7 linked regions of the Canis lupus familiaris genome follow. The protein of the gene in region 2 interacts with the protein of the main gene of each other region in a pairwise test. Links are inferred from orthologs where the notes say so. Each region holds a gene or a part of one and is shown on either strand. Other genes may lie near its edges. The genes, in order: CCDC33, EFEMP2, ATXN1, PRPF31, AMMECR1, STK16 and NUFIP2.

Region 1 (4,011 bases), on a different chromosome or scaffold from region 2:
CTCACTTTCCCTCCTGGTCAGTGGGGATGTCTGGGATGGTTGTAATTCAGTCTTCCCTGTAACCGGCCTATGGTTCCTGCGGTGAGGCCAGGAGAGATGACTAATGTCTCTCCGATGGCCCGATTCCCAGGAGCAGCCTAAGAGGGTGGCCCCATCCCCCTTGTTGCTGTGTGGTACGGGGCCTGTCCCCAGCTCCCTGGGGCCCCAGAAGTGAGGGCCCAGCAGCACGGCAGCTGCCCAAGGGCTCTCACTGACTCTGGTAGCCCCGGAGCCCAATCAGTGATTTTGCAGACCGGGCCCATGAATTGCGGCCCCCTCTCTGTCCCCTACTTGCTCTGGGACAGCCTTCTGGGAAATCAAGCTTCCGGGGCGGGTGGGGGGGGAATTGATGGAAACTGCTGGGGCTTCACTTCTGGGCAGGCGGCCAGCTGCCAGGCTGGCACCTCCTGGTGAGGCCTGCAGGCATGTGCCCGCTGGGCTGGCTGGGCCCAGAGCCAGGGAGGCCAGGACCTAAGTGTGAGGCCTGGAGTGGGGGCCGTGAGCCAACCTCCCTGCCTCCCCTTCCTCCGTCTGGATGAGGATCTGCAGGCTTCCCTCCGAGAGGCGCCTGCATCAGGACAAATGCTCCCTCCCACCCCTGCTTCAGTTTTGCAGCTGTGTCATAAGGTTTTGGGTTAAAAAATGATCCTGCGTGTTCCTTCTAGTTTCAGCATCTAAACTTCCTTGGGGATTGTGATGGCCACAACCTAGGTGGGGAAACGGGCTCAGGGAGGCAAAAGCACTTGCATCTGGGCGCTCGGCTCAGCTCGCAGACGTCCCTGCTCTGCTCTCTGGATGTGCTGAGCTTTCTATGGGCCACAACGTATATGCCCTTGGGCTCCTGATCCGGGGAGCCCCGTGCTTGTTAGTGGGAGCAGTAGGAGTTGTGCTATTCAGGGAGAAGAGGCTTTTCCGAAGATGACACAAAAGTCACAACTCATAAAGGGAAGGACTGACGCTTTGATTCCACTAAATATCCATGCCAACTTCTGTGATAACCACCAATTCACCACGATACGAAGGAAAGACAAACAGGAGAAAATATTTGCAATATGTATAAAAGAATGAATTTCCTTACTACACAGAGAGCACTGACGTCTAAGATCTATGGAAGATTCACGCAAGAAGAAATGTGACTGTGCGCTACCGTGTACGTGATATGCACGTCCTTACAGGGCATTGTACTCAGTCATTGAAAATGTTCCACTAAGTTATGGATTAAATGAAACAAATCTGTGTCCTTCTCAGGGCTCCCATGCATGCTCCTCAGATCCCCAAATCCAGCTCAGGTGGGCAGGTGGGAATGAGCGTCAGGACCAGCTGGCCACTTAGCGCCCCTGACATTTAGAAAGGAGCTGAAAGGGGGAGGGTGGAGTCAAGGGGAGGAGGCAGCTGTAGGGAGAGAACGCCAGGAACCACAGACACCAAAGTCAAGGGTAATAAAGTAGAAACCACAGTGGGGCACGTAGATTATTTGGTTTGAGTCTAACTGCAAAGAGGCTATTCCAAGTTAGCAAGTACCTGGTGCCTTTGGTCTCAGCTCACTCTGCCCTCCCTGTTGGTACTTGGCACAGTCAAGGGCCTTGGCTCTGCCTTGACAGTCAGCAGAGGGTAAGGAGAAGCCTCATACTAAACTGTTTGCATTTTTAAAAAAGATTTATTCATTTTTTAAAACTGTTTGCATTTCACGGCACTGGGATCTTCGTTCCCTCCTGGCAGGGTCTCGCTGCTCTGTTCCTGCTATTTATTAAGCACCTACTATGTGTCAGGTGCTGTGCTGAGTGTTGGGGATGCAGCAGTGATCAAAACTGACCAGAATCCCTTCTTTCTAGGAGTTGAGCATCTGTGGCCTGGGGCAAGGGTCTGAGCCAGGGCTGGAGGGGCATAAGATAGTGGAGCTTTGGGCAGCAGCCTGGGAATCTCCTCGATCTTGGAGGGTGATGGGGAGCCATCTCAGTGGGGTCTCGGAGCCTCCGTGACAATGGGGCAAAAACTCCTTTCCAGGCTGTTGGTAGGGGAAGGTACCAGTTCAAGCTACATTTTTCCCTGGGTCATGGGGATACCAGGCAGAGACAACGAAGTAAGGGTGGCGGGGGCTGACAACACCTGCAAGCATGCCGAATTTCAGATCCCATGTGGCCCAGGAGTCTAGCATGCCTAACTTGGAAGCATCGCAGAGACCTCCTTGCTCTCCATTTCGCAGCTGAGAACACTGAGACCCAGAGAAGGGAAGCTTTGGTCGTGATTTAGAAGCAAATACAACAAGGGACTTTGAAGGAGAAATGAACTCATGCAAGCGCAGGACCCATGCCCTCAGGCCTCACCTTTTTCTTTTTCCGTCCCATCTCTTCAGGGGCAGGAGTGTTTGACCTTGTTTACAGATCTTGGGGACCAGTACCTGATATCCGTGGGCAATCAGGCATCAGTCCTGTCCAGGCAGCTGGCCTGAGCACCTTGGAGCCTTTGGGCTTGGTGTACCGTAAGGAGCGTCAGTGTTGTCTCAGGGGTGCCATACACGGGCTCTGGGACCTGGACAGGGTAACAGGCAGGGGGACCCGCGGGGCCGGGGAGGAGGGCAGCCTGGAGCTTTCTCAGTAGCGAGACATTCTTTAAGTGCAGTTGGCTTCAGGCCTCTGGGCCATGACCAGCTCCATAGGGTCAGCGGCTGAACCAATTGGCTCTCGGTACCCCCAGGAAGGTAAAGACAGGGGTTTGCCTCTCTCCAGGCCTGGAAAAGCTATGAGCTCTTCCCCCCGGCAGGATCACCTGGGCAACGCTGTGTGACATCACAGGGCAGAGCACAAGTCCCCCAGGTAGAGTCCAGGTGGAGTGGGGTGGGGGCTCAGAAGCCCTTCTCCATGTTTTGGGAGCTGGGTTTTGCCTGCATTGTGGCCCTCACTCCTCACCCTCCCTGCTCTTTGTACCCCGAACTGCACGTCCACCAGGATTCACCAGTGGCCCAGCCCGGTGGTGGAGGCTGAGACCCTGCTCGCAGGAAGTTACAACTTGGCTAACAGCTATTTCGGTTAAGGAATCTGCAGCCGTCCTGCCTCTTTGGGTGCCCGTAGTCTCTCATTTGTTGAATAATCATAAACACAACGTTGGAGAAAATGGTTTCATTTGGAGGCTGAGTGGGAAGGTGGCAGAGAGAACGGGGATCAAGGAGGTATGTTATCGTAACGCCGCTTACATCGGCCAGTTAATGGGTGTTCATCATATCATCAAAAATAAATTATAAATAACTGAAGAGAGCCAACAATGTTCTGGGGGATGGACCCAGTATTATGACTAGTCCAATTCTGAGCTCCGTAAGGAATTATTACAAAGATAACCGTTCTTTTTACGTAGCACTTACTATGTGCCAGGCACGGTTCCAAGTGCTTTTCTGTGCAGGGAGAGGCCAGAATGAGGGGTGGCTGGCCCCTGGCCTGGGGTGAGGTCGGCTCCACGGAGATGCTAGGCAGCATGGCCAGGAATCCTGGGCTAGGAAACGTGAGATCTGGGGTACTAGGTGGGGTTGACAGGCATCTGGAAGACTCCTGTGGCCTGCCTCGTTCTCTGGCCAGCGGTTTTAGACTCCATACTGTTTTTTTTTTTTTTTTAAGATTTTATTTATTTATTCATGAGAGATCCAGAGAGAGAGGCAGAGACACAGGCAGGGAGAGAAGCAGGCTCCATGCAGGGAGCCCGATGTGGGACTCGATCTGCCATGATCCCAGGTCTCCAGGATCATGCCCTGGGCTGAAGGCAGAGGCTCAACCACTGAGCTCCCCCAGGCGTCCCCATACTAAGTGTTCTTTGCATTGTCCTGGGCCTGGGGACCAAAAGCAGGCCCACTCTGGCAGCAAGAGGTAGGAGCTATGGCTTTGTGGAGGACTGCTCCTTCCCCCGGCAGCCCTAGTCTAGAGAAAGGCAAGGAGGATGTGGCCCTCCCCAGTTTCAAGACAGAAAAACTAGGCCTCACCTCCCATT
Region 2 (3,950 bases):
GGGAAGTGGGTAGAGGGCAGAAGCTAAGAGGCAGAGCTCTTGCCTGCCCTTGCAGTGTGTCTCTAGCAGCTGAGAGGGGGATCCAGATGCTGGCTAGAGCACTGAGACCAGAGCTGGGGCCACCTGTGGCAGGCACCTCACAGAGTGAGGATCTGGATGGCAATCCCAATAGCTCTGAAGAGGCTTTTGAGCAAGAGAGCAATTGAGGTCCGAGTTTTTAAGTTGCAGTGATAGATGCTTAGTAGGTGGACTGAAAGCCCTAGTGCCAAGGTGACCCTCACTCACCCACACAGCGCTCTTGCTCGTCAGGTTCATAGCCTGGTAGGCAGGGGTTGGGGTATTCAGCAGGGGGCACTGGTGGTGGTGGTCCCTCGCCATGCAGATCATTGATGACAGCGGCTGAGCGGGGCAGGCACAAGTAGCCCCCATAGTGGTTGATGCATTTCATCTCTCCCTTGCAGGCCTCGGGGATGGTCAGGCACTCGTTGACATCTGCAGAGAGGGGTCTGCTGGGCACAGCCGGTCTCCTGGGCTGGCTGTGAAGTGGGTGGCAGGTGGGAGCCCAGCCCGGCCTTCTATAAGCTGTGTGACCCAGGCAGGGCCTCCTCTCTCGACTCAACAAGCTAAGGTTCCCTGCTCAGAACCCCTCCTCAAGGCCTGCCTGGGCAAATGGTGGGGCAGGGGGCTATTCCCATAGTCAGCCCCATTCTCTTGTCCCCAAGAGGCTCTCTACCCCTCCCCATAGCCTGGGCCCTGGCTCAGCCCAAGAGTGACGGGCAGGCCTCCCTACCCACCCCGCAGACACTGTCCTCCCAGGACGTGATGGGGCAAAGCCAGACGGGAGAGTAGTTCGAGGTATCCAAGACCCAGCTCCTCTGGGCAGTGCCCTGCTGCTCTCCTGCCCACTGAGTGGTGGGGACAGGATGTCCCGGGCTTCTCTGAGAGGGAGGGGCCTGCATGGCTTCTCCACCCCTAGCTGAGCTGGCCCCCAGAGAATCAGAGCTGGCCTCCGCCAAGCCAAGCTGGGCAGAGGACAGGTCATCGGGCTCCCTGATGCTGCTCTTGGAGCTGAGCTTGCAATCCCTTTCCCAGTTCCTGGGGGTGGGTCAGTTCCCCAGTTCCCTGGGCACACTCACCCCGGCAGTGCTGGCTGTCGGGGTCCCACTCATAGCCATCTGTGCATTCCTACAAAGGGACCAGAGATGACCAGTAGTCATCCCCAGTCCCCTTCAGATGACCAGGCCAAGATCAGGGCCTGAGTCTGGCCACCCTCCCAGCCTGCTCCAAACAATGGCCCCCAGCTGCTTCCTACACCAATCAGGGGAGGGGACAATCTCCCCCAGCAGCAGCCACCCCAGGATCCTGATCTCTGTGTCCCAACCCAGCCCGGCCCAGGCCAGTGGCCCCACTGTCCCCACCGTGTAGCTGTCGGGCTCCTCCGAATCCTGGGGAGACGCTGCTCCCAAAAGCAACAGCAGCAGCGCCCAGAGCAGTAGAGACCCGGGGAGGCAGGAGGCGAAGGGGAGCATCCTGGGGGCTGGGAGGTGGCGGAGGGGTAGTGGAGGGAAGGGGGGTCAGGGCGCTTCCGCCACGCACCCCCACCCCCATTCCCTGTACCAGAACTCAGAACCCTGGCCCCAGCCGCCCCCCGCTCCGTACCGTGCCTGGGGCCCCGGAGCTTCCCAGGACCCAGGGCCCACTCCACCCTCAGGCCGGGGTTCGGGGCCCACCCGCCCGGGGCCGCCCCGCCCCCGCCCGGTCCCCCAGTGGCGCGGGCCGAGGAGCGCGGGCCTCTCGGCTCTGCGCTGACGCCGACTCGGCCGAGACTCCGGCTCGCGCCCTCCCCACACCGACCGCCACTCACTTGAGCCCGTGACGCCCCCGCGGCCCGCGTCTCCGGCGGCTCGGCTGGTTCGGGCAGTGCCTGCGGGCAGACGGACGGGCGGACGGCGCAGCTCCCTGGACGCGCGGCCCCAGGAAGCGCCCCCCGCTCGCCCGCCCGCCGCGGCGCGGCCCACCCCGGCGCCTCCGCCCGCCCCTCGGCGGATTCCTGAGCCCGCGCCAGGGGGAGGGACCCCGACCCCCCGCTTCTCCGCCCCCGGCCAGCCACAGGCCCCCACCCGGTCCCCCGCGGCGCTGCCCGGAGCCGCCTCCTGGCGCAGGGCCAGGGTCCCCCTAGATCCCCATCCCGGGTGTATGGCCTTGATGTCAGGCCCCCAAACTCACCCGAGAGCCTCTGGGCCCTCACTTTGTGCACCCCACTATGTCACCCTGCGCACCTGGACCCTACAAATCTGGGCTCCTGGAATTCCGCCCTGCGCACCCACAAATTAACGCCTGGGCCTTCACACTCTGCGCCTCCCAGAATGTCATCCTCGGTTCCTGGACCCCATCTAATCCTGGGGCTTCCAGACCCTCGCTCTATGCCCTGCAGACCTTTACTCTGTGCACCTTGTACAGTCATACTGGGAACACCAAAATTTCATTCGGGGGCCCCAGACCCTCGCCCGAGGACGAGACGCTCCCAGGCCCAGAACAGTTCAGGTGCGCCCCTTCTCTCCTCCATCCCTAGGGCTGTCAGCCGCAGGTGGTCCCTCCTCTCCTGGACGGCCTCCTCCCAACAATCGTTCTGCGAAACCACAACGGTTTGGGAGCGGGGTCTGCAGTTGCCTTTTGGCCCAGAATGAATGGAAGCCCCTGAGAAGGCAGGCAGGGCTGAACTGGCGCGTACCGGACGCCAGGGTCGGGTGCCAGTGCCCCAGCCGCTCTCCTTCCCAACGCGTCCCCACCCCCAACCTCGGGGTTCCAGCCTCCTTTCGGGAGCCGAGGGCGAGGGCGCGCCTTTCGGGGAGGAGATTGGGCGGAGTTGGCTCCCAGGAAGGGGCGGGGCCTCCTCCTGCCCACGTTTCAGGGCGGGACCAGACGGGAAAAGGCCGCGTGTCCAGGGATCTCCCGCCGGGGGGCAGACGAAGTGCGGGAATCGCTGAGCCCTCCCTTCCCCTTCCCACCCGGGGTTTAGCCTCACGATCGCCCCCAGTGCAGCCCCGCCCAGGGGGAGGGTGTGCTGACGGGGGCAAATGGGTCCGCAGGTCAGCCCTTGGGGTTCAAGGTGACTTGGAGAGTGCACCCCTCCACCCCCCAGATCCTTCACATCCACGGGGGCGAGGATGCTAAAAAGAATAGCTCTTCTAAACCAAAAAGACAGGCATTAACAAGTGTTGGTGAGGAAATGGAGAAATTGGAATCTTCCTGCACTGCAGGTGGGAATTTAAGATGGTCCTCTTTGGGAAACGGTGTGGCAGGACCTCAGAATGTTACATGACCCAGAAATTTCACCCCCATGTACATGCCCAAGGGAATTGAAAACATGTCCATACAAAAAGACCTATACACAACATTCATAGCAATGTTATTCATAAGATCCAAAATGTAGAAACAATCTAATGTTCATTAATTGATGAATGGATAAACAAAATGTGGTAATATGATGAAATGTCACTCAGTCATAAAAAGGAAGTACTGATGTGTGTGCTAAAACCAAGGAAGAATCTTGAAAGTATTACCCTAAGTGAAAGAAGCCAGACATACATCCTCATATTCCACTAATACGACACATCTAGAATTAGGCAAATCTAGGAGACAAATTCATGTTTGCCAAGGGAAGGGGGGACTGCTGACATGGTTTCTTTTGGGGGTATGAAAATATTCTGAAATCAGATGGTGGTGATGATTACTCAGTTAAGCAAGTACACTAAAACCATTGAATTATATAAAGTTTTTTTAAAAATTTATTTATTCAAGTAATCTCTACACCCAGTATAGGGCTCGAACTTATAACCTCAAGATCAAGAGTCCTGTGCTCTTCTGACTGAACCAGCCAGGCATCCAGTGAATTGTATATATATATTTTAAGATTTTATTTATTTGAGAGAGAGAGGCAGAGACACAGG
Region 3 (2,611 bases), on a different chromosome or scaffold from region 2:
AATATGTTGGAGGAAGGAAAAAAAAAAAGAAGGTTCTTTTACACGGGGAGCTTTCCACGGGCTGTCTGATGCCTCTCTAGCATGCCCTGCGGCGAGCGGGGTTCCTGATGTCGGCTTTGCACGGGAGGAGGACCTCACGAGGATGCTCCCCCTGGGGCCTCCAGTCCCGGGCGGAGGGCAAGAGGCAGGGGGGCAGGGGGAGGCCGAGGGAAGGACGGAGAGCCTCGGCGGCCGTGCACCTGTGCCCCCCTCCCCGCGTGCACGCGCCCACGCGGGAGCCCACGCGAGCCCCCCCCCCGCCCCCCTGCAGCTCCCCCGCCCTCCGAGCATCCTCGGGGCGAGCGGCGGGGGCTTCCTGGGCTGCGCGCCCGGCCCCCTCCACCTGCACCTGCCGCGCTCACGGCCGGGCCAGGCCCTCGTGGGAAAGCGCGTGCACCAGTCTCCTGCGCGACACCGGCTGTAACTCTAATGACAAGGTTATAACAGAAACCTAAGGAGGGTAACATGTAAATACTGTGTTATTTAGCCTACAGTACAGTAATCTGGATACAAATGAGAAGGGGGAGCCGAGTTTCCTTTCCCCGCGCTGCCTCTACTTGCCTACGTTAGACCGGCCTTCAATGCAAATCTTAACCTCCTGAGGAATTAGAGAAGGCTTAGGAAGAGTCAAAGGTGGCTCGTCTTCCGACTTCTCCAGTTTGCGGGTCTCCGGGGCCGACCACCTCCTCTTCCTCGTTGCTGCGGGCTTGCTGGGTTCTATTTTGGTGAGCAAGGGCGCTGCAGGCAATCCTATTTTTTCTGGAAACTTGAGTTCGCCATTCTCGGCCAGCATCTGGGCACTTCCCTGGTTGATGCCGTTCTCCTGCTCGGCGTACCTGTGTCTGCTGCCTGCCAGGCCGTCGCTCTTTGAGTGCTTCAGCAGGACGCTGGCGGGATCCACGGGCGGGCCCTTCTTAACAGAGCCGTTCCTCAGGTTCTTGAGGGTCAGCGAGATGCAGACGTCCCCAACGGAGAGCTTGGAGCACGGCAGGTCGAAGAGCTGGCTGGTTCTCTCTGGACAGCAAGATGACCAGCCCTGTCCAAACACAAAAAAAGGGTACTCTACCAAAACCTCCACGCTGACCTGTGGAAACAGAGACAGAGAGGAAGGAGGATGAGGAGGATGCTTTATTCTTGTTTTATGTCTTACACTGCCTGCCGCCTGGGCATAAGCAAAATGAGGAGGAAAAAAAAATAAGACTTCCTTCCACAAACCTCATCCACCAACACACACAAAGGAGGCTCTTAATTTTTGGTTGCACCAGTACTTAACCGTATATGGGTGTTGGGGGGAAGCCAGTAAAAGTCCACTTAGTGTTCAGAATATCATTTCACTAACTATGGGCTCTCTAGCCGGCCTCCTTTAAGACAAATGGATCCAGGGCCACCTGGGTGGCTCAGGGGTTGAGCATCAGCCTCTCTGGCTCAGGTCGTGATCCCTGGGGTCCTGGGATCAAGTCCTACAGCGGGCTCCCAGCAGGGAGCTTGCTTCTCCCTCTGTCTATATCTGTGCCTCTCTGTCTGTGTCTCTCATGAATAAATAAATAAAATTAAAAACAAATGGATCGGTCCCCAAGGACGCCAGAACAGGTACTTGGTGTTTAGTACTAAGCTAGGCTCTGCAGGGGACTCAAGCGAGAGCACAAGATAAAAGTCTTGCACTTTTATCAGCTCGCTGGACAAATGCTATTCTTGTATAATTAGGGATCAGAGTGAGACTGTATACAAGCTCCGGAAGGCAGCCCTTACCTGTTTATCGCTATATCCCTGGCCCCTAAAAGGGCACCTGGCATATGGTGGAAGCTTAATAAATATTTATTGGGTAAATGAGTGTGTACTCAAGAATCGAAAGGAGCAGACACAGTAAACAGAGAGGGCTTCCCTGTTTACCCGAGCTGAGGGCTGGGCAGCATTTGGAGAGGTTTGAGGGGTGGACAATGTTGGGGAGATGATAAAATTTAGGACACAGAGAGCTCAAGTAGTTGGCCCATCCAAGGTCAAGCACCAGGTACTCAAATCAGCCCGTGCATTTGTTTGAAGATAAATACCAAAAGTGGGGAAGCTCAATATCCTCTCAATAGGTTGCTCTCTTCTCTATCATCATGTGCAACCTGTGTATTGTGCTAAGGAAATAAACGGAAAAAGCCAGCCCTAGTCCTAGTCCCAAAGTAGCTCACAATCGGTGGCCAAAAGAGACACATGAACATAATTGCCAATCAACACGGTGAGTGGGGTTATAATACTTTAATACCAGTATCAGGTTGTTGGAGGGCAGAGGAAAGGCACAGACCAGTTTGAAGAAGAGGTGATTAAGGGAGTTTTCTTGGATGAGGATACACTGTGCTGAGTTTTCAAACATAACGGGGGTGGAGTACAGGTGCGGTTGCAATGGGAACCCACTCTTGGAAGCGGAGATAGGTGAGCATAGGCAAGGAGATAGTGTCCAGTGAAAGCCCTACCGTTGCCATTGAATTAGGTTGAAATGCACTTGAGGTTCTAACAGTTTAATTTTCATAGAAATTTATTTTCTTCAACTTTATGCTATATAAAAAAGAAAAAGAACAATGAAGTA
Region 4 (3,500 bases), on a different chromosome or scaffold from region 2:
CCCTTGACCTTGAGGAACTCGGCCATGCTGGAGAAATACTTCTGGTTGGCTTCAGCCACCTTCTTCTCAGCTGCTTGTGGGTTCACAATCTCTAGGCCCTGGGCAGGTGAATGAGGTAATGATGGGGTGGGGAGATGGGCTGGCCCCTGACAAGGCCCCCTTACCCAGTAAGAGAATTGTGACATGTCGGGGAGGCCCTTTTCAATGGTTCCGGGCTCCAGGTGATAGAACAGTTTTCCAATTACCAAATTGCCCCCACCCCAAACCTGGGGAGATTCTAACTGTGGCTCTGGGAAGAGGGAAGAGTGGGGAGGACCTGGGCATCTGAATTTTTATCAAGTTCTCTAAGCAATTTTAAAAGCATCAATGTTGGGCAGCCCAGGTGGCTCAGCAGTTTAGCGCCGCCTTCAGCCCAGGGCCTGATGATCCTGGAGACCCGGGATGGGGTCCCACATCAGGCCTCCTGCATGGAGCCTGCTTCTCCCTCTGCCTGTGTCTCTGTCTCTCTCTCTCTGTATGTCTCTCATGAATAAATAAATAAATAAAAATCTTAAAAAAAAAAAATCAATGTTTCAGAACAGCTGACCGGGTTTGGTTCCTGAATAAGGAAACTGAGTCACAGAGCTAAGTGGCTCACCTCTGGCCCTCGTGCAAATTACACCAAGCCTACTGGTGACACGGCGTCCAGCTGTGGGGGCTCCACACTGGCTGGCACCATTCCCAGTATCTTCCACAGGTAATTCTGACCTTCTTGCTGAGGCCTCCCTGGGCGGGTCCAACCCGATGCCTCACTCCCTCTCCCCTTTCTTCCCTGCACTTTCCACTTTCCACCAGGCTCCATATCTTATCTGACCCCTGCCACCCCACAAGCTCCCTGAGGGCAAGGCTTGCTGTCTTGTGCTTGTGGCTCTATCCCCAGTGCCTGCAACAGCACCTGAAACTTAGGTGCTCAGTACACCCTTGCTGATGTTGCCAATGAACTCAGTTATTCTACTCGATGCTATGGGGCGTGCTGGCGCTATCTGTGGGTAGGCTGAGAAATGGACAGATGCAGAGGCTCTGTCCTGTGCATGAGTGGCTGGGCTGGGACCTCTGCTTCCCAGCCAGCTACCTTTGAGTTTTCTTCCGTGGAGCCCTGAGGTTGTCCCAGCCACTTAGCACCTCAGGGAGGAGCTGAGCCCACTTGAGGTCATGGGGAATCAGTAGTCACCCCTAGTCCCAGCCCGATCCTAAAGCCAGCCTGCACTTGCAGGCAGACCTTTTCCCTTCTGCTCCCACTAGCCTGAGCACCAGGAACTGAGCTGTACCTTTCAGGGGCTTCACTGATACACAAGGCTGTCCACAACAGCCCTGCGAGAGGAAGGGGCTTGCCCAGGTCCACTCAGAAAGCTGGGAGTAGAGCCTGCCCAGAACTGGGCCTCCTGACTCAGGTGCACAGTACCTGCAAAGGGGTGAAAGCCACACTGGAAGCAGTCCCCGAGGAGCGGTCACGGATGGTGGACTTCCCGCCATACACGACACTCTGCTTCTGCAGGGTCCGCTGTGTGGAGGGGAGGGGACAGGATGTTTGGGCTTGGCTTGGGCTCTCCTGCTGGAGCTCCCAGACTCCCAGGCCCACTCAGGCCCCGCCTGTACCTGCAGTGTCTTAGAGATCCTGGCTTTGGTGGCCTCGTTCACCTGTGTCTGCCGTACCCGCCCGCTGCCTGATTTGCCCAGATGGCCCAGGCTGAAGCCCAGGTCCTCTTGGTAGGCGTCTTCCTCGATCTGGTGGGAGGGGAAGGTAACCAAGAGTTAGCCATCTTTCATCAGCCGGATGCCCCAGGCACTGACCCGATTCAGGTGCCTGCTGGGGCCCAGTGAGGAGTCCAGTCCTATTACGGCTCCCTGAGCTGACAGTTGAGGGAAGCTGTGAGTGTTCATGTATGCAGTGTCAACAACCAAAACTGGGCTTGCTGACTAGAGGGTGTTTGAGCTGGTTCTTGCAGGACCATGAGGATGATGCTTGGGTAATGAGTCTGGCAGAGGTGAAGCCTGAGGAAGGACCCTCCCTGGGCAGATCCAACCCGACAGGGAGGTGTGTACAAAAGGGTGGGGGTCGGGGGACAGGGCCAACACTGAATGCTGCATAGGTCCCTTCAGGGTACATGGATGTGGGGGGAGGCTGGAGGTGAGGTGCTGCCTCAGCCGAGAAGAAATGTGGTGGGGACATCCAGACTAAGGCTTTGACCTCTCCGAAGCTCATGCGGTTGGCCTGCTTCCGGATCTCGGTCAGCCCTAGCCGCTCCTTCATCTTGCGGTACCTGGGGAGGGGCGCCAGGGGTCAGCTGGGGTCACAAGCCCCTTCCCCTCCTCTTCACCCCCACTGGCCCTCAGGGCCTACCTGCGGCCACCTCGCTTCTTGCGCTGCCCGTCCAGGGGTGCAGGCAGGGGCTTCACCTGCTTCACGGGCGGCGGCTCCTGCCATTTGTCAAACTTGCGCTCGATTTCATCCTTCAGCTCATATCCCACCTGGGGAGGGCAGGGGGTCCCATTGAGCCTTGCCCATCCCTCTACCTGTGTGTGGCACCTGTTCCCAGGCCTGGGGGGCCTGTGTTTCTTGGGAGACTCAGACTTCTCCCAGCACCCCTCATATAATTCTGTCCTTGATGGGGGAGAAGGAGGGCAGCCCCCGAGTGCAACAGGGCCAAACCGCACACCTGCACCTCTTCCCCAGCCTCCAGCTCCGGCCTGCACAAGTTGGTAAAGGGAGGTCACTTGGGAGCCTCACCTCTGGCTTCTCTCCCTCTGGGCTTTTCCTTCAGTTAAGACCCCAAATCGCACCCCTCAGCATCTCTGCTACAGCCAAGGTCTCTCTGGGGCACACAGGCTCTGCGTGACCTGTCCCATCCCACAGCCTCCTCTCCCTGGCTTCCTGTGGGCCAGGCTCAGGGCCATTGCACTGGCTGCTTCTCCTTCCTAGGACTCTTCCCCCAGGCACTCACTTGACTTGCTTCACTTCACCAACTTGCTTCACTTGCACCAACTTCACTTGGGTGCAGATTAGACCTTCACCTTTGCAGCAAAGCCCTCCCCAACGTCCGGGTTAAACTCAACCTCCCTCACCAGCCCAGCACCCTTTGATCCCACCCTAGCATTTATGTGGCATCCCTGGACACACCACAGATGGCCCGTGTCCTCACCCCGCCCCCAGCCAGAACATGAATGCCACAGGGGCATGGCTTTGGTCGGAGTGCTCACTGCTGTCCCCACTGGAACCTCAACCAGTGGTCAAGAGGAAAAGTGGGGGGCAGTGAGAGAAAGAGACTGAAGCCTGGACACTGTGCCAGACTGCACAAGACAAGATATACCCACTTTCATGGAGCAAGTCTGCCAAGAGAGATAGAGGTAAACTCAGTGATGACCTGAACAATGACAAGTCTGGTAGAGGAGACAGACCCACACAGATGCCTGCTGTGCCTCACCTTCCCTTCTGTGCTCTCGTGGAAGCTGTCCACACGGGC
Region 5 (3,500 bases), on a different chromosome or scaffold from region 2:
CACAATTTCTCAGAAAAACTTACATTGTCTTATCTTGAATGTTGTAATTAAGAGCTTGGACTTTATAGTCAGATGGCCTAGGTTTGAATCCTGGTTCTACCACTTACTAGATGTGTAAGTGGATAAATTACTTAAATTCTGTAAACTGCAGTTTCCTCATTTTTAAAATGTGGCATTAATACCTGAGTTGTAAGTAACATGCATATAAAGCTCCTCTGAAGTTTCAACAAAGTTTTTACTTTGCATGTTTTAATAAATGACAGCTATCAATAATACCATCAACAGCACCTTGTAGAAATGATAAGTGCCTCCTATTTAGCTGAAAGATATTATGCTGCAACTTTTTTAAAGATGACTCCACAGTTTTGACTCTAAGCTGAATCTAGAAAAAAAGAGCAATTGTAATATTGTAAGATGTGTTTTCTTTTGTTCATCTCTTCCAAATAACTACATTCTTATTGCTATATAAGCAAAAGGAATTAAGCCAAACAGAAGCAAAAAGACAAGGGGGATCCCTGGGTGCTCAGCAGTTTAGCTCCTGCCTTCGGCCCAGGGCGTGATCCTGGAGTCGCAGGATCGAGTCCCGCGTTGGGCTCCCTGTATGGAGCCTGCTTCTCCCTCTGCCTGTGTCTCTGCCTCTCTGTCTCTCTCATGAATAAATAAATAAAATCTTAAAAAAAAAGTCAAGGTATGTACATGTGTATACACACACATGAACACACATATCTACTGTGCCATACACCATTTCAGGAAGTTGTATAAAAACATGAGAAGAAAGTTGAAAAATAAACAGGAAGACCATAGATTACAATGAAGGTAACCATATATACAAATGCAGGCAAATTTCCAAGCTGAGCTATTTGAATGTTTCATTCAGAGTCACATTATTGTCAGAAAAATACTAAAATTCTTCTGGTAATACCCCTAGGAGACAGATCCACAAGTCCGGAAAAGTTGAATATTTTCATCCCTTCTTATCAGTGTAGGTAAAGATTTCATCTTTTCTTTAAACAAAACCAAACTCTTACTACAGTCACTACTACTAAGGATTTCTAAAGTATATAACATTTGATACTGGGATTTCTGCCACAATTTCATTAGAAAGTACAAAGGGTTTCTGTACTATCCACTTGGACTTTTCAACTATAAAGAAAAATGGAAATTTTATGACAGACTTATATTTCTAAAAATGTATTCCTTGGGATACTAATGGCCTAAGACAATGAATGGAGTGGGAGGATAAAAGGGTTCTGTGGTCAAAAGAGTTGAATTGGGAAATGCTGCATTCTAGATCTCACTCAGAGACTCACAACACTATTGACGTAAAAGGTTCTGAGAAGTCCTGCAGTGAGCACAGCTGCTTAAATTTGCTTAACCAATGTTCCCCAATTTTATTTGGCTATAGAATCCTTTTTTTCCAAGCAATAACCAAGGAGCCAGTGTTCCTCATAACAACTTATTTTAGGAAATGTGTAATAAATTGCCTTTGATTATATATTAAAAAAGTAATTTTGTATGTACTTGTCCCAAAGAGGTAGTCTCTGGCAGAATTTGCTAAAGTCCCAAAATGAGTCCATGGTATTTCATGTCAGGAAAAAAAAATCTAACTTGCTTAGACTAGCATTTACGCTATCTTTGGCAAGTTCAAGTCATTTCTAGAATTCGTGTTTTGATCTTTTTACTGCCTGTATGTTCTTAATCAAGTCCAAACACTCAATTCTAATGCCTGTGCAAATATAAAAAGTGAGGGTGACCCTCCAAGCCTTTGCTTTTCTTTCCAATTTCACTGTAAGCTAAGAAAACCCTGTAGTTGTGAGCTGTACCTTCAAATATAAGAATACTAAACTCAAAAAAAAGAATACTAAACTCAGTTACCAATATTTTATTAACTGCTACCACAAGCTGCATTTATACAATCCTATAATAAAATAATGAATGTTCTGCAATGTTACTCCAGAAGCAAAGTAGTGACTGGATATTATTTCATTCCCCTAACACCTCCCTAACATCCCTACTAAGTATATAGAACAAAACCCTGTAATTACTACTTTATCTGTTGGAGGTTAAGCAATGTGCCCCAAGTACCAACAGTCAGCAGGGACCAATTTGTTGTTGGACAGATACTTGTGCGTATTACAACTATAGAAATTGTATCAGATAATCACCCTGAAATATGAACAAAAACAGGAAATTCCTTTACTAATAGCTTATTATTTAAGGAATTTTCTTCTTTTGAAATAATTCTGGAACATAATTTGCTAGAAATCTAAACTTGAACCAAAAAAAAAAAAATCAGATGGCATACTCGATAGCTTTTTGTGCGTTTGGAAATTAAAAACAAAGCCTTAACAACTGCAATGAGGCATTCATTACTTTGTCCTTGTGTTAGACGAAACAAAATAAGTAAGCTACAATTAATTCTGGGTAAAGTGTGAATGTGAATGATAACACTGCCAGGCTGTGGCATCCCTTTCTTCCTAGGCTCTCCCCTCCATTGCAGGAGTACATAAAAGTGCAACAATACATGTAAGATGACATCAACAATTCTTACAAAGCCTAACAGAGAAGACACAGTGTTATTAAGGAAATAATACATTGTGGTAAGCCATTGACTTTTGGGCATCCATTTTCAAGTTATACAAAATAAGCTGGCCTTTGAAGGAAGACACTTTAAAACATTTATGGCAAAATACAATGTAATTACAGTATTTTATATTTTGATAAAATGTGGCAATAAAATTTTACCAGGGATAAGGCAAATGTTGAAGAGAAGGAAAAATCTGATGTGAAAGGAGTCAAGAATGTTAACAATTTAGTAAAGCAAAGGAGTTAAAGTATCAGGTTCAAGTTTCATAAGTTTTTTTTCTTTTAACGTAGAAGCAGAGGTAACAAAAATTGGTCTTCACCTGGTAAGTGTGTACTCCCTGAGTCCTGAATGCAAGTTCATGGCAGAAAAAGTACCTATGCATCCACGCAATCTTTTGTCTCGACCAATCTTCCATGTTACAAACAGTGGGCTGTAACGGGAGATAAAAATAAGGTCAATCCATCAATTCAACTCAAGACAGTTATTTATTGAATATTTATCATATGCATGGTTAGGTACCTGAGACATAAAGACTACATGACAGGCCCCCAAGGGGCTGAGTCTAGCCTAATGGGACTGCATTTAACAATAATTATATCTGGAATGTACTGAGTGTATTCTATATGTTAGGCAGCATGATAAATGTTTTAAACAAATTATATTAATCCTCATCAACAACCCTAAGAGCCTGAGTAATTCTATTACAAACATTCCTATTTTACAGATGAGGTAGTCCCACAGTTAATATATAATGAAATAATAACTACAACCTGGACAAAGCCATAACCAGCATGGCCCAACAGCTTGAGTCCTCATTTAAACTTCACGTTATTGATTGATTTGTTAAGTCTAGTTTAGAAAAAAAAAAAACCAACCCCCAAATTTCAACAAATACTGAATATTATGTATTATG
Region 6 (4,191 bases), on a different chromosome or scaffold from region 2:
GCTGGAGGCTTCTGCACCCCCTGCTTGCCACTGCCTTCAGTCCTGACACTTAGCTGTACTCATTCTGTTCAAAGGGAGGAATGATACCACTTCCTGAGCAATTGAGTACAGTGTCAGTGACGGTTCCCAGGAAGGAAGTCGAGGGGGATGGGGACATACACGGTTCCTGGGGCCCCATGCAATCGAAACCAAAGACCTGCCCCTCTGCTGCACAGCAGGTACAGAGCGGTACTCCTCCCCATCCATGTGCCCCCCCACATGCTCCTCACCCAGACATCAGTCCGCTCATCAATGACACAGTGGCTCTGCACGGAGAAGAGCTCTGGGGCGCGGTAGGAGATGGTGCATCGCTGGGCTGCCCAGTCCTGGAAGAGTGGCCCCATAGCTCAAAAGAGAGGCACAGGTCATAGTCATGTGACCAAACTGGGGCATGCAACAGGAAAGGCTGAGGATGGGGAACAGGAGGGCAAAGGAACCTGGACACTCTTTTACCTGCAGGGCCAGAGCCTGGCGGGAGCCTTCCACATGGATGCAAGCTTGATTCATGGAACCCAAGTCCATTAAAACTGGCTGCCCCTCATCTCCAAGCAAGATATTGGTGGGCTTCAGGTCCCTGCAGGAAAGTGGAAATAAATGGCCCATGAACATCCCTGGATAGGGAGACTAGAATCCCTGGGGGCAAAAGAATCATGGGGACTGTTCCTTGGGAGGAGAGCAGAGACCACTCAATCCTTTTGGTGAGGCTCTTTCTTTCTGCCCCATAAGCACACTGGGCCCTCCCACTGACCTGTGGGCATAACCTCTGGCATGAATGGCCTCAAGGCCTCTGCAGATACCCAGCAGCAGCTGAAGGATTTGATCTTCAGTCAAGAAGTTGCCTTTGTCCTTCAGCCTTTCTATCTCGTTCCACAGCGTACCCCTCTGCAACACAAGTTTCCCCACGGTTGGACAGGTTTTCTGGGTCTCTGCTCCCTCAGCCTGATCCCTTCCCTGTGTCACAGCCTAGCAGCTCTTTCACCACACACACTACACACCTCACAGTCCCACTTGGGTTCCCCTAAACCCCAAATCTGAAGCGGTCCAACACAGGACATGGTCTCTGCTTCCTAACGTGCTTGGCTACTCACACAGCCCTCGGTAGATGACTCTGTTGCAAGCCCCTCCATTGCCAGGAGACTTTCTGACCTTGAAGAAGGGTAGCAGCAGCCAGGCCTCATGTTTAGTGCCCCGCTCCCTCAGACAATAAGCCACAAGGCGGAGGATGTTGGGGTGATGGAAGAGGCGATGCATGTCTGCTTCTCGTTGGGCTTCCTCCCGATCCTGCTGCTCGTGACACAGGATCCGCTTCAGGGCGTAGAAGTGTCCATCATGTAACCCCTCCACTAGGTCCACATAGCTGAACCCACTGTGGGCCAAAGGGGTCAGTGAAGGACCACGGTCATCTCCCACACTGCTTGGACCCAGAGGAACTCCCTGGGTGGGGAGGGGAGGGGGTGTCTTTCCCAGTCAGCAGAAACCCTCCCAAGACGTGGCTTCAGGAGAAGTCTGAAGATTTTACACTTTGAGCTCAAGGGTAGGAACACAGCAATCTTTGAGGTACCTTGGTCATAATGCACAGCTCTGCACGTGACAAATGCTCCGGAAATGTTACATGAGTAAGTAACAGTCAACATCTGTCAAGTGCTGTGAACCGGGCCCTGGGTGAGATTATTATTATTATTTTTTCTCTTTTTGGTGAGATGATTTCTATGCACTATCTCATTTAATCCTCACAACTCCATCAGCGACAAAAGATAATTATCTCCAGGGCAGCCCGGGTGGCCCAGCGGTTTAGCGCAGCCTTCAGCCCAGGGCCTGACCCTGGAGACCCAGGATCGAGTCCCGCATCGGGCTCCCTGCATGGGGCCTGCTTCTCCCTCTGCCTGTGCATGTGCGTGTGTGTGTGTCTCTAATAAATAAAATCTTAAAAAAAAAAAAAAAAAGATGATTATCTCCATTAAGCAGATGATGAAACCACGGCTTAAGGTCACACCAGGTGGAGCCAGGAGGCCTGGCTCCAGAATCCACTTTCTTGGCATTCGGGTTGCTAGGCTCTGTCAGGGGAGCTAAAGGATGCTTTACAAGGATGAACCTCCTGAGGCCCTATCACGTGCAGACTGCTGTCCTTCACTCACCAGAACCCTGGGGGCTGGCTAGGCGATTTCAACACTCACCCCTCCCCCAGTTTCTGGATGAAGAGGTAGCGCTTGTTGTCAATGAGGACGGTTCCCCGGGAGCAGACACACAGCGCGTGGCCCATAGCGCCTCAGTCATCCTCCTCAGGGGCGGTCCGGGGCTGCCGACGGCCGCGTGCGGGCTGAGGGGGCTCTTCCAGGCGACGCGCTGGGGGCCCCGCGGATCATGCTGGAAGGCAAAGGACGGCAGGGTCGTGGGCCAGGCACGACCCCCGAAGTGCCGACGTGCAGAGCTGGCGCCCGGGCCTCGGAACGCAGAGGAAACGAGCCTTGGCGACGCCGGCTCGGGCACGGCCGAGGTCGGGTGCCCTGGAGCCTCGGGCCACGCCGCGACGCCCAGGCCGCGTCCTCGCCGTCGGGCCGCCTCGGCAGCCGCGGAGCGTGGGGGCGAGGCCCGGGCCCACCCGGCGGGGCCCGCCCCGGCCTCGGCGCGCAGAGCCCCGGGAGGGCCGGCCCCGACTCCCCACTGACCTGGCTCCGGCCGGAGACGAGCGCCGCGGACCGGAAGGAGCGTCTACGTCATCAGGCCGCGCCGGCGTAACGGCCCGCGGTATCCTAGCAACCGCAGGGCATCCGGAGGATGTGGGGGCGCGGAGCTGAGAGGCCGGGGGCGGGCTAAGGCGCGGGGGAGCACGGGTCCCGGGACCCGGTGAGGGTTCCACACCAGGCCTTCAGTAGTGGGCAGGACGCAGGCACCCGCGCCCAAGGGGAGCAAAGCCGGGCTCGGCCCGAGGCCCCCCAGGCCCCCCGTCTCCCAATGCCGGAGGTAGGAAGCTGCAGTCCAGCCCCGAGGGGCGGGGGCCGGGCGGGGGCCGGCGGCCTGGACCCCCACAGCGCCGATCGGTGCACCCTTCGGGGCTCAGGCCTGCATCCCACTACCCTAGTTTCAGTGGTTAAGAGCTTACTAGCTGCGTGACCTTGGACGACTTAACCTCTCAGAGCCTCGGTTTCCCCAGTTGTAAACAAGCTCTAACAGTACCTAAGGTTAGGTGCCCGTACGGGGAGGCCAGGCTGCAGCTCCCAGCTCTGCTAAACTAGCTGCGTGACCTTGAGCAGACTATTTAAAATTTCTGCCTCTCAATTCCCTCATGGGTAAAATGGGAGTGATAATTACCAACTGCACGGAGCTTTTTGAAGATGAAGTGAGATGTAAAGTGCTTAGCACACTATCTGACACAGCCTTGGTGTCAATAAATAGAAGTTGCTGTTATTTTTATTATGATTCTATTTTTCTTATCCTGGTCCTTACATCCCAGGCTTGGGATTGTGAAGGCAGGAGTCATGGAAATTCATAAATTCCCAAGCCTTGGCCCCAGGTAGTTGTTCTTGACAGCTCTCGCTGAGGCAGGGCAGGGATAAATTGAAGAGCGGTGGACATCCAAAGAAGACAGAATGGCTGAGGTGGTCTCTTTTGCTGTAGCAGGGCCACTAGGAGAAAAAAAAAAAAATCCCATTTATAACTTGGTTCCTACTTTCACACCACTGGGAAGATTGATTCCGAACCTGTTTTAGCCCCCTGGTTCCGACATTCATTCATCTAGATTTAACCTGCTATGTACCGAGTCCCGTGCTAGAAGCTGAGGATGCAAGATGGACAAGGTACTCTTCACCCTCAGGGAGCTCAGTTTAGTACCACAGTGCTTCTCAATCTTGAATGCCTTTCGGATCGCCTGGGAATCTTGTTAAAATCCAAATTCTGATTCTAATAGGTCTGAGGTAGGACCTGAGACTCTGCATTTCTAACAAGCTCCCAGGTGATGCTGATGAAGCGGATTCAAGATGTAGAGGATCTTACAAACTAGTAGAGTAGCGCGGGTGGACAAGTCCAGGCTAATTGCCTGGTGACTTGAGGTGGTCTCCGCCCCCTTGCTCGCTGAGGTTCCCTCCCAGGAATCCACCACGTGACAGCCGGACCGCCCTCTCTGAATAGAGGAGCCCTGTTAGCGCCATGGCTCCC
Region 7 (3,500 bases), on a different chromosome or scaffold from region 2:
CATGAGAGACAGAGAGAGAGGTACAGAGACACAGGCAGAGGGAGAAGCAGGCCCCATGCAGGGAGCCCGACATGGGACTCGATTCCGGGTCTCCAGGATCAGGCCCTGGGCTGAAGGCGGCGCTAAACTGCTGAGCCACCGGGCCTGCCCGATTTTTTTTAGGTTTAAAGTGAAAAGTGTAGCTTTAAATTTTGCTCTGTAAAACTTAGCATATAAATTTTTTTTTTTTTCCTTTGCAGAAATGGAATCTGTTTGGAATTTGCAGAAGCAAGGTAAGAATGGTTAGGTTACCTAAAATGTTAGTACTAATGACTAGTGTATGTTTGGGTGGGAATAATCTAGTGTTATTTCACTAAGTGACTAGGCTTTGTATTTTGAATTATTTAATAAATGCAGTTAAAAGACATGGCTGCTATACCAGGATTGCTAAAGATGGAGTAACACTGTAAGTGAAAAGAGTATATGAAAATAGTCTTCACCTTCTAGGTGAAGAACATGAATTTTTTCCCCTCTGATGATGAAAGTAAGACAGAACATAAATACTTTTAATATAGGAAACCAGCATAAATGTTTCCACTTATAGTCAGTCTTTATCTGTATTTGTGGTAGACAAGTGGTAGCCTGAACTGAAATAGTTCAGAAAAATATTAGCTTTTTTTTTATTATTATTATTAGCTATTTTAGACTAGCCTCATTTGTGCTTCAAAGTAATAGATGGTTAAAAATCTAAAGAGCAAAGTAGCTTCCTTCACGAACCACATGTATAAGACATGAATAGTAGGAAGGCGGAGGGACTGAATGATCCACATCTGAATTGTTAAGAATTTTCAAAAAATTTACATTGCTTATCCTCATTATTGTGTGCTTTTCCAAATATATTAAAATGCAGTAGCTGTGGAATACCCGAAATAAAGTTAAGTGTCAGTCTCGAGAAATAGTCACTAATAGAATTGGGCTTTTAGAATCCTGACTGAATTGCATCCATTTCCATCCACTTTGCTAGCTAATACAAGTGAGAGAGGTCACTGTGTAGCTAGCAAGTGGCAAAATTAAATGTAGGTTTCCTTGGGGGCGCCTGGCTGGCTCACTTGGAAGAACAGGAGACTCTTGATCGGGGTTGTGAATTAGAGCCCCACATAGGGTATAGAGATTACTTTAAAAATAAAATCTTTTTTTTTTTTTTTAAAGTAGGTTTCCCTGATTTCCCAGCATTGCTCCTCCTTCCATCTCCCTTGTACTTAGGGCAGGTCTTACTTGTCCAACACAGCTGTGGTCTGAAGGTAACTAGCAAGATCTTATTTTGAGTTTCTTTCTGTGTGCCTTATTCAAAGGAAAATGAAAAAAAGGTAGACTAGAAAATAATATCTGCAAAAGTAGACATCCCTATATTTACTGTAAAATGGTTATTAACTATTTAGAATGAGCATTATCTTCATAGCAGGTTGTTATAGGGTGGCTATTGTAGTCCTAGAAAGGATATTATCTCTGCACTAAATTAGATTGACTCAGGCTGAGGTGAGCTTGAGATCTTTATTACTATTTTTAGGCCTTTATACTTTTCCATTAAGTGACAAGTTTTATTAGTTTCCTATTTTTTATTAAAAGCATGTTTTTTTTTTTTTTAAGTTCTTATGATAGGTAGAAATGGTACATAATAAAATTACTGCCTCTCTTGAAGAAGGAAGCATATAGCTAAATAATTGGGATTTAGAGTAACATTGGAATCTTTATTTATACATGTTGCTGAGAAATGGGAAATTTGGAGGAAGGAAGAAATATGTCATGATTAGGACTGAACTTCCAGTTCTGGCCAAACTTAACCTGAAGTGTTTGGTGCTAGATGTCACTTGAACAGTTCCTTACTAGACATTCCACACAGGTTAAATTAAATTTTGACTTCATTTTATTGAAAAGAACAAAAAAAAAAAAGTCCAAGTATTTGTTTTAGTATTGAATTATTGACAATTTAATAAGGCTTTTATAATTGGGAGAAACACATAAACCCTTGTCACTTGTCAACTGAACTCAACCCCTTTCTAATCCATAGGAGTTGAAGCCCTCACTGGCTAGAGAACCCTGTTCTGGAAATCCTTTGGGATGTCAAACTATTGGGTTGTGGAAAAGTAGATCATTTATGTATTAATACAAAGAAGTCTTTATTTTTTAATTTTTTAGGGGTAGAGGACAGAGGAAGAGAGAGAGAATCCTAAGCATGCTTCACACCCATTACAGAGCCCAACATGGAGCCCAATGCAGGGCTTGATTTCAACCCTGACATGACCTGAGACAAAATTGAGTTAGGTAGAACCTGACACTTAACTAACTGAGCCACCCAGGCGCCCCAAAGAAGTGGTCTTTAATTTGTGTTTATATAAAAGGAGCCAACTAAAATGATGATGGTTATTTGAGATTTGTTATTTGGAATATGGGCATTTTGGCATTTCAGATCTCAGTTTTATTTATGTATTTTTTAACCTTCTCCCCAGATCCCAAAAGGATAATCACTTACAATGAAGCCATGGATAGTCCAGATCAATGAAGGACCAGACTGCCTATTTGTAACCTTTCTGCAGCATTAGAGCCACCGTTCATGGGGGACACAAGGCTTTTATGCTCCTAGATCTTCAACGCAGCAGAGGAACCATAAGTAGAATCACAGGATAATATATACAAATATATATATATACATATATATATATAGTTATTTAAAAAAAAAAGGCAACTGAAAGTAATTAGACTTCTTAAGGAATCAAATTTATTTCAAGAGACTACACATGGTTATTTAATCTCCGGTACTGAATAGTTTTTTTTTTTTTTCTTTTTTCTTTTGTTAATTTTTGTTTTTAAGTGTGAATGCAAGTGATTAATGAATACAGACTTATTAACAAGCGTGGTTCTAAAGTTCCTGCTGTCATCAACTTGGGCAAGAAATGACCCACTGGAAAGGCAAATCCACTTTTAAAAGATCTGTATCTTGTTCTGTGACTAAAGTGATACACTAATCACGGGGAACCCAGAATGATTCAACATTTTCCCCCCACTCCTCCCTTGATCTTTTGGTTATACTTTGAGCCCTGCGAGAATGCTGGATAAATGCCTTGAAGTTTGCAGGGGTGTATTTTTTTAGCGAATATGATTTGCATGTCTTGCCAGGAGTTAAGCAGCCTCTGTGGGGTGTTGGGGAAATTCTTTCTTTCTTTTCCTTTTATTTTTTGTGGGGTGGGCTTAGGGGAGGGCATTGAAGTTCTATAATTCTGGAATAGTTGATGGTACATAGTTCACTTGGCTTTGGTTACATGGACTTTAACAAGTGAAGAATCCATGAATGTCATTTGAAGAAAAGTTACAGAACAAACAATTGGCTTTAGAGATTTAATATGAAAAAATATTCCTTTGCCCATATTTTAATGTAATTGTATAAGTGGGAGCAAAAATATATTCTGCTTTTCAACTGTAGGTGCTCCAGACTTGCTCTCTGTCACTAACACTAAATGTGCTGT

Evidence for each region.
Region 1: the proteins of EFEMP2 (region 2) and CCDC33 interact in a two-hybrid assay, tested with the Homo sapiens proteins (2 studies listed by BioGRID). The two-hybrid records come from large-scale screens. The link is inferred for Canis lupus familiaris from reciprocal best matches to the Homo sapiens genes EFEMP2 and CCDC33.
Region 3: the proteins of EFEMP2 (region 2) and ATXN1 interact in binary tests that used the Homo sapiens proteins (3 or more experiments, as listed by UniProt). The link is inferred for Canis lupus familiaris from reciprocal best matches to the Homo sapiens genes EFEMP2 and ATXN1.
Region 4: the proteins of EFEMP2 (region 2) and PRPF31 interact in binary tests that used the Homo sapiens proteins (3 or more experiments, as listed by UniProt). The two-hybrid records come from large-scale screens. The link is inferred for Canis lupus familiaris from reciprocal best matches to the Homo sapiens genes EFEMP2 and PRPF31.
Region 5: the proteins of EFEMP2 (region 2) and AMMECR1 interact in binary tests that used the Homo sapiens proteins (3 or more experiments, as listed by UniProt). The two-hybrid records come from large-scale screens. The link is inferred for Canis lupus familiaris from reciprocal best matches to the Homo sapiens genes EFEMP2 and AMMECR1.
Region 6: the proteins of EFEMP2 (region 2) and STK16 interact in binary tests that used the Homo sapiens proteins (3 or more experiments, as listed by UniProt). The two-hybrid records come from large-scale screens. The link is inferred for Canis lupus familiaris from reciprocal best matches to the Homo sapiens genes EFEMP2 and STK16.
Region 7: the proteins of EFEMP2 (region 2) and NUFIP2 interact in binary tests that used the Homo sapiens proteins (3 or more experiments, as listed by UniProt). The two-hybrid records come from large-scale screens. The link is inferred for Canis lupus familiaris from reciprocal best matches to the Homo sapiens genes EFEMP2 and NUFIP2.

The regions. Positions count from the first base shown.
Region 1 is NC_049251.1:37,823,362-37,827,372, reverse strand, and holds the start of CCDC33 (coiled-coil domain-containing protein 33), read right to left. Parts: upstream 2,801-4,011; 5' UTR 2,385-2,800; coding exon 2,364-2,384; intron 1-2,363.
Region 2 is NC_049239.1:51,889,671-51,893,620, reverse strand, and holds the start of EFEMP2 (EGF-containing fibulin-like extracellular matrix protein 2), read right to left. Parts: upstream 2,801-3,950; 5' UTR 2,732-2,800; intron 1,925-2,731; 5' UTR 1,865-1,924; intron 1,538-1,864; 5' UTR 1,530-1,537; coding exon 1,419-1,529; intron 1,186-1,418; coding exon 1,137-1,185; intron 493-1,136; coding exon 286-492; intron 1-285. UniProt on the Homo sapiens protein: Plays a crucial role in elastic fiber formation in tissue, and in the formation of ultrastructural connections between elastic laminae and smooth muscle cells in the aorta, therefore participates in terminal differentiation and maturation of smooth muscle cell (SMC) and in the mechanical properties and wall integrity maintenance of the aorta.
Region 3 is NC_049256.1:16,756,517-16,759,127, forward strand, and holds the end of ATXN1 (ataxin-1), read right to left. Parts: intron 1,124-2,611; coding exon 593-1,123; 3' UTR 501-592; downstream 1-500. UniProt on the Homo sapiens protein: Chromatin-binding factor that repress Notch signaling in the absence of Notch intracellular domain by acting as a CBF1 corepressor. Binds to the HEY promoter and might assist, along with NCOR2, RBPJ-mediated repression. Binds RNA in vitro.
Region 4 is NC_049222.1:103,832,247-103,835,746, forward strand, and holds part of PRPF31 (U4/U6 small nuclear ribonucleoprotein Prp31), read right to left. Parts: coding exon 3,462-3,500; intron 2,509-3,461; coding exon 2,381-2,508; intron 2,301-2,380; coding exon 2,228-2,300; intron 1,765-2,227; coding exon 1,636-1,764; intron 1,541-1,635; coding exon 1,442-1,540; intron 99-1,441; coding exon 1-98. UniProt on the Homo sapiens protein: Involved in pre-mRNA splicing as component of the spliceosome. Required for the assembly of the U4/U5/U6 tri-snRNP complex, one of the building blocks of the spliceosome.
Region 5 is NC_049260.1:84,112,699-84,116,198, forward strand, and holds part of AMMECR1 (AMME syndrome candidate gene 1 protein), read right to left. Parts: intron 3,018-3,500; coding exon 2,907-3,017; intron 1-2,906.
Region 6 is NC_049258.1:25,668,216-25,672,406, reverse strand, and holds the start of STK16 (serine/threonine-protein kinase 16), read right to left. Parts: upstream 2,801-4,191; 5' UTR 2,706-2,800; intron 2,404-2,705; 5' UTR 2,300-2,403; coding exon 2,214-2,299; intron 1,625-2,213; exon of another isoform or gene 1,610-1,624; coding exon of another isoform or gene 1,601-1,609; intron 1,406-1,600; coding exon 1,186-1,405; intron 922-1,185; coding exon 788-921; intron 614-787; coding exon 493-613; intron 366-492; coding exon 270-365; intron 1-269. Other genes in the region: GLB1L (beta-galactosidase-1-like protein), read left to right, coding at 4,183-4,191. UniProt on the Homo sapiens protein: Membrane-associated protein kinase that phosphorylates on serine and threonine residues. In vitro substrates include DRG1, ENO1 and EIF4EBP1. Also autophosphorylates. May be involved in secretory vesicle trafficking or intracellular signaling.
Region 7 is NC_049230.1:43,359,261-43,362,760, reverse strand, and holds part of NUFIP2 (nuclear fragile X mental retardation-interacting protein 2), read left to right. Parts: intron 1-239; coding exon 240-272; intron 273-1,188; coding exon 1,189-1,280; intron 1,281-2,486; coding exon 2,487-2,501; coding exon of another isoform or gene 2,502-2,539; 3' UTR 2,540-3,500. UniProt on the Homo sapiens protein: Binds RNA.